Regions from separate parts of the Mus musculus genome. Here region 1 is reported to be linked to region 2. The links are microRNA targets in miRTarBase. Many come from high-throughput screens and were not tested one by one. Region 2 holds a microRNA gene; the other region holds the end of a gene's coding sequence. Distances are between the middles of the regions.

Region 1 (3,404 bases), 57 Mb from region 2:
AGTCTCCTGTCTCTACCTCTGCCCCCTAAGTCTAGCATGGCAGCTGTGCACCAGCTTTCCCAGGGACTCTGGTTGAGTTGCTTATTTCCGTCTCGGCTTCACATCTATAAACTAGAGACAGAAGGACTATCTTGCTGGTGGAGCTAGGGAGACGGGGTGCTTGTTAAGTATTAAATGTTTTCAGAAAGTAGGAGTGAAGGTGATTCCTCTCCCCACCCCCCAAAAAAAATTGCACATGGGAGGCTGGAGAGAGGCTCGGGTTTAGAGAGTGTGTTGCTCCAGCAGAAGATCTGAGTTCAGTTCCCAGCACCTACATCGAGCTCCTCACAACCTCCTTTAACCTCAGCTCTAGGGAATCAAATGCCACCTTCTGGCATCCGTAGGCACTGCACCTTATGTGTATATACCCCTACACACATATATGCAATTTAAAATTTAAAATGTTTGCGGGTGAGTAGATGTGGGGTTCCAGGGGCCCCTGCTGTCTTCTCTGACTCTCTCCTTTCCTCTCTTTACAGAATCCCCTGGTTGAATCCCAGGCAGATGACAGCTCTGAGCCCCTGCCTTCCATACTTGAGGCGGCCCCCTCCTCCACAGAGGAAGAGATACATTATGCGACCCTCAGCTTTCACGAGATGAAGCCCATGAACCTGTGGGGGCAACAGGACACTACCACGGAGTACTCAGAGATAAAGTTTCCACAAAGGACCGCATGGCCATGACCGTGGCTGGAGAAAGCATGGTGGCCCCAGGAGGCTGGCTCTGGAGAAGGAAAGAGTCACCTAGGTTGACATGTGATACACAGGGCTTCAGAGCCATTCCTTCTGTGACACAGGCGTTCTGTGCTGCCCATGCCCCTGTGCTGCCCTGTCCACACAACTGCTATTGTGCCCTGGGAATCATAAGCTTGACCTTTTTACTCCTCTTCTCCCCTTCCCCTCCTTCCCCGCCCCCTCTTCTCCTCCTCCTCTCTCCCCTCTCCTCCCCTCTTCCTTTTGTTTTTTCCAAGACAGGGTTTCTCTGTGTAGCCTTGGCTGTCCTAGAACTTGCTCTGCAGACCAGACTGCCCTTGAACTCTTCTTTCCAAGTGCTGGGATTAAAGATGTGCACCACCACCCAGCACTTGACTTTATTGTAACTGTATGTGTGTGAATGTTTTGCCTGCACGCAGGCCTGTGCGCCACCTACATGCCTCCTGCCTGCAGTGGCCAGAAGAGGTCATCAGACAGTTTGAAATTGGAGTTACAGAGGGTTGTGAGAGGCCACATGGGTGCTAGGAACTGAACCCAGACATCTGTAAGAGTAGCCTGTGCTCGTAACTACTAAGCCATCTCTCCAGTAATAAGATTGACTGTTTTAGATCTAATTTTTACTTAAAAATTGGCATATATTATTTACACAGTGATAGACTTTGCTATATTTTCTTCCAAGTGTATCACATATTTTGGCCATGTTCATCCCCTTCTCCTGTTAGCATCCTATTAGTCGCTAGGCTCCTTTCTCTCCCCAAACAATCCCTTTATGGTTTCATGTTGTATGTATTAGCTACTTTTCTTGTCTTTGTTGATAGGATGCTGACAGAAACATGAAGGATAGGAAGGTTTATTCTTGCTCATGGTTTCAGTCTATCATGGCGAGGAAGGCAACATGGTGCTCAAGTGAGTACATGTAGTGGAGGCTCCAAATCTTGATGAATCAGGAAGCAGCAGGCTCAAACCAGAACTAGATGTAGGTATCATCTTCCAAGCCCAGTCCTAGACACCCACTTCTATAAGCTGTGCCTCATGTCTGAGAGATCGCAAGGCTTTAGAAAATACTGCGACCAGCTGGATACCAAATGTCCAAATATGTGGGCCTTTGGGGACAATGTACATTTAAACCCAAACTAGATGGATGATAGATAGATAGATAGATAGATAGATAGATAGATAGATAGATAGATAGATAGCAGAAAGAAAAGGGTTAGTAGATGATATATAGATAGATGATAGAAAATAGAGACATAGAGATGACAGATAATGATGGAAAGGTAGATAGATGATAGAAGATAGATGCTATATAAAAGGTAAATGGTAGATACAAGATAGATGATAGAAAAAAAGATGACAGACAGACAGACAATTTGGCAGAGATGCTGCTCCACTCTGCTTTGCTATTGGTGATGCACCACTGAACGTAGCTCAGAGAAAGTGCAGATAGCAGTGCTGGATACTGAGGGGCTGCCAAACGTGCCTTAACTCGGTTTCTTTTTCCTGGTTTTTAAAAACAGTGCATATACTTTGTGAGAGAAAAGCACTTGAGAGCAAAACATAAAGAAGATTCTAACGTAAGAGGAAATACTGATAATACTTAACATTTTTGCAAATGTTCACTTGCATGTGAACATAAAACTGGACTGAATCTGTATTTGTGCCTATCATTGTTGATTAATCTATACTTTTTTATTTGGGTTTTTTTTTTGAGACAGTGTGGTGGTTTGAATGAAAATGTCACTCATAGGAAGTGGCATTATTAGAGGTATACACTTGTTGGAGGAAGTCTGTCACTGAGGGAGGGTTATGAGGTTTCTGCAGCTCAGCCAGGCCCAGTGTCACCCTCTCTCCCTGCTCCATGCCTATCCAGATGCAGAACTCTCAGCTTTTCTCCAGCACCATATCTGCCTGTCTACCACCATGCTTCCTGCCATGATGGTAATGGACTAATCCTCTGAACTGTAAGCCAGCCCCGATTAAAATAAGAGTTGCCATGGTCACAGTGTCTTTTCACAGGAATAGAATACTAACTAAAACAGACAGGGTCACAAGTACCCCAGGCTGTCCTAGAACGTGCTATGTAGCTTAAGATGACCTTGAACTCCCGAACCTCCTGCTTCCAGCTTCCAAAGCCTGGGATCATGGGCATATACAACATACTTTCTTATATATTCATATATATTTTCAAGTGTGTGTGTGTGTGTGTGTGTGTGTGTGTGTGTGTGAATGCAGTTCATGCTGAGTTCAGATGAGAGCATCAGATAACCTGTAGTTGGAGTTACAGGTGATTGTGAGCTGCCCAACATGGGTGCTGGGAGCCCAACTTGGGATCTTTGCAAAGGCAGTATATACTCTTCCTCCAGCCCCTGATCTGTTCTTTCTGTTTCTGACCCCATCTCTGTGCCTCTGTGGCCCTATCAGATGTAGCTTTGTGTATTCATCTATAATTAGAAGGCAACTACCTTCCTCATTGAGAAGCCTTTCTACCAGTGTGCTTCTTAAACCTGTGTGTAGGACCCATTTAAGCAACTGACACCAGTTGTCTGAACTTAAAATGGCTTCATTTCTCTGTCATTGGTATCTGCGCATCTTTGAAGAATCTTTCAAGATCCCCTAGTGTCAGAGTAAGGATGTGGAGCTGGAAACTGGGGG
Region 2 (3,404 bases):
TGGCTCTGGTCCCTCCCCATTCCAGTCTCCCTAGGGAGGGCCGGGTACCAGCTCAGCTAGAATGAGAGGTCATGGATTACTCCGTTTGTGTCTGGCCTCAGTTTTCCTTTCTGTACAATGAGTAGCCCTGGATCTCTAAGCTGTAGACTTAATAATAACTTTCCAGGACTTAGCTGAGTCTATACTGAGGAAGAGGAAGGTCTTGGTGGTTCAGGCGTATGCTGGGGTCCCTGTCCCCAAACGACTCTGTCCAGGAGTTCCTTCCCCCCCAGGAAGAAGCTGGGAGCCAGAGCAAATGTCCAGCCTGCTGCTTCACTGTGGAAGTCTCAGGCCACCTTCCCTATCGGCCGCTGGAGGACAGGAGGGCAGTTCAGAGAGTCCTGGCTTCTACAGTCAGGACTGCACAGGGACTGTGAGAGAAGACACCAACATGAACTCTGGCTCACCCAGCTTCCTCTTGGCCTCATCAAAGGCCTGCTCAAAGCCCAGGCGGGCATCCGGGTGGGGAAACTCAAAGATGTAGGAGTCGGTGCCCTCGGGCCGGGTGGCGCACAGCTCCAGCTTGGTGGGCGGGAAGGCCAGGGAGCAGCATAGCGCCTGCTTTTCTGACAGGTCCCGGTGCATGGCGGCCGAGAGATCCCTCAGTGCATCGTCTAGACTCTGTGGGAAAAGAACCCAGGCCTCAGGCCAAGGTGTCACCACATGGGCACCTGCACCGAGGGGACCGTGGAAGGCAGCCTCCTCCTGCCACAGACAGGGATGGGCCTTTCTCCCCCTCAGAGGTCTCCTCCCTCAGACCCCGGACCTGTCACTTCCCTTAAGTGGGAGCAAGACTATAATTTTCCCCTTCAGATAAGTGACAGGACCAACTGCTCCCTCAGGCAAAAGCCAAGACTGTCTGTCCCTCAGGCAAGGTCAGGGGAAGTCCCAGCCAACACTGCCTTAGCTCAGGGCACAGACCTGGTGGGGGAAGCCGAGGCTCTCGGAGAGCTTGCTCATTTGGCCCAGGGTGGCCAGGTCCTCATCCAGGCGGCTGATGGCTTTTTGGATGGTCTCCCGATTGGTGGCTTGAGACGCCCCTGGCGAGGACAGAGGAAAGCCATGAACACATCAAACAAGGTCAAGCTTGGACAGACACACTTCCCTTAGCGCACAGCCTTCAGCTGAGCACGGGATTGGTCTGGCAAATGGGAGCACTTCCAGACCCAAGCTCTCAGAAACAAGGTCAACAGGTAGCTCTCAGAAAAAAAAAACAGGCCCGGGAGGAGAGGTCTGGTTTAGAGTCACAGGGCACAGAACGGCCAACTCTTGGAGAACTTGCTAGGGCACTAAGAGGATGATTTGCATGGAAACTAACCCGGTTCTTCAAAACCAATCTCTCATATGGGATGAAAGATGAGTCACAAGAGCAGACAAACCAACAGACAGGCAGGCAGACTCAGGGGAAAGCCACCAGCAGAACCCCTGACAGACTCAGCCAGCCTCACCCTTGATGATGTCTGTGTCTTCCAGTGGCAGCTTCCACAGCATCTTGTATTTGCTGGCTGTATCAATGACGCTGGCTGCTGTGTACCTGTGGGTAGCCAATGGGGTGCTCTGGCTGGGGCAGGGAGTAGAGCCCACAATAGATCAATGGCTCTCCTGCCTGCACCACCCAGCCCCACCCTGGCCACTCACAGGCTCATGGAGCTGCGCCTCAGCGAGCCCGACTTTCGTTTCAGGGTGGTACAGACAATGAGGTCTGTGAACAGGAAGAGGGATCGGTCCTTCTTGCCTCCAATTGCCTTCTGTAGGGTCCAAAGTGGCATTCAGGCTCAGTGTGCACAGTCTAGAGGCCGACCTACATTACCCTAGTTCCCCAGGAACAGCAAATCCAAGGGAGGGGTGAGGGCTCTCCCCCACTTATGTGGAATCGGGATTCATGCAGGGCTCCCATTGTGTGGTGCTTGGGGAGCAGGAACCAGAGGGCAGCAGGCGCCAGAGAGTGAACTTGGGTGGGTTGAAGGTACTTGGGGGAACAGCCAATGGGAGAACCCTTACCACTTCAATAACCATCTCCTGCCTCAGGAACCGCCGCAGGGGGGCCTGGAGCTGGTGGGTAGGAGAGAACTAGTTATTAGTCTATTAACCCTGCAGTGATCGGTTGACCACTCTATGAACGAGGTCAGCCAGAGCGACATCCTGTCCTCGCTTGCATCACTGGGCTGCCAGACAGGGACACAAGGTCAGACAGAGGAGGAGGAGGAGGAGGACACAGAAGGGTGGGGCACTGTGGTCACAGAAGCAAGCTGACCACAGACCTGGACGTGGATGGCCACAATCCGGGTGACAGATGAAGACACAGACAGGGACAAGTTGGGGCACGGCAGGGTGGGGCACGTACATCCTCCATGCCCTCGATGTGGGCTTCGATCTCCTGAAGCACGCGGGCATGCCGCTCGGCCTCCTCAGCGCTCCGCACACCCTTGTTGATGCGCTCAGCCACCTGCTTGATGTTGCGCTGAGCATCGAGCAGCAGTGGGTGGTCTGGATGGTCTTCCGGTGTGTGCTTCAGAAGGTCCTGGGGCGGGAATGGAGACCTGTTTAGCTGCCCTGAGGTATTGAACTGACTGCTGGAGCATGAGAGACCATGGTATAGGCATCAAGGAGGACTTTCTTTCCTGCCTGGAGTCTGAGAACAGACATACTCCTCCCCCCGACCCCCAGGGCCTCCCTGTCCAGCCAGGCCCGTGGTTACCTTCACCAGAAGCTCATAGCGTGGGATTCTCTGCACAGGCTTGATCATGAGGTCGGACAGCGCCTGCTTTTCCTTGTTCTCACGCATGCTTTGCTGAAACCGAAGGCAGAGTGGAGGGAGTTCTCACATGAGGACTGACACGGCAGGAAGAGACACGCTCCTAGCCAAGTCCCTCCAGGTGAGCCCAAAGGCAGAGGCTGACACACTTGCAAGCACCACAATGTTTTTGGTCAAGAGCTCCTGGGATGCCCAGAGCTAGCCTGACATGTTAGCTTCACCCCTACCCCAGTCCACATACCTCCAAGAACTTGAGAAAGGCTGGCCTGGCCTCCTTAGCTACACGCACAGCATCCTTTGCATTGAGGAAGTTATCAATATAGGCCGAATAGATGTTCACCAAGACGTCTTTGGAAAACTGTGGGTGAGGAAGCAGGTTAGGCAGGCTCAGGTGTCCCTCACCCACTTCACCCTGTCCTGGCTTCTGTCTATTTAACTTGAAATGGTCAGGCAGGTCTTCTCTGTCTTTCTCAAAATTCATACATGTTGCATGCATGAACGTGACTGAATGAGCAGGTGTGTATGTATATATATGTATATATATATACACATATATGTATACATACATACAAATACATGTGCCTAGATGTGTGCTGAGACAAGACCTGGG

The links. The annotated mature microRNA mmu-miR-3102-5p reads GUGAGUGGCCAGGGUGGGGCUG and lies in region 2 at 1,656-1,677, opposite strand. An mRNA with a match to its seed (bases 2 to 7 or 8) in the 3' UTR can be bound and repressed. Matches are read on the target gene's strand: a 7mer-m8 pairs with bases 2 to 8, a 7mer-A1 pairs with bases 2 to 7 and ends in A, and an 8mer does both.
Region 1: the mRNA of Siglece is a reported target of mmu-miR-3102-5p. The part of its 3' UTR that is shown has no 7-base or 8-base seed match.

What each region holds. Positions count from the first base shown.
Region 1 is chr7:43,648,804-43,652,207 of GRCm38, reverse strand. It overlaps Siglece (sialic acid binding Ig-like lectin E), which reads left to right. Exons shown (of 7, transcript NM_031181.2): 7 at 519-1,138. The coding sequence ends at 722. Ceacam18 (carcinoembryonic antigen-related cell adhesion molecule 18) reads right to left here. Exons shown (of 6, transcript NM_028236.1): 6 at 2,913-3,404. Among named protein-coding and RNA genes, the nearest start is that of Siglece, 9.7 kb to the left of the region's middle.
Region 2 is chr7:100,880,733-100,884,136 of GRCm38, forward strand. Mir3102 (microRNA 3102) reads right to left here and starts at 1,677; the gene lies at 1,574-1,677. It overlaps Arhgef17 (Rho guanine nucleotide exchange factor (GEF) 17), which reads right to left. Exons shown (of 21, transcript NM_001081116.1): 4 at 3,036-3,152; 5 at 2,738-2,830; 6 at 2,384-2,560; 7 at 2,041-2,091; 8 at 1,678-1,787; 9 at 1,488-1,573; 10 at 961-1,079; 11 at 447-660.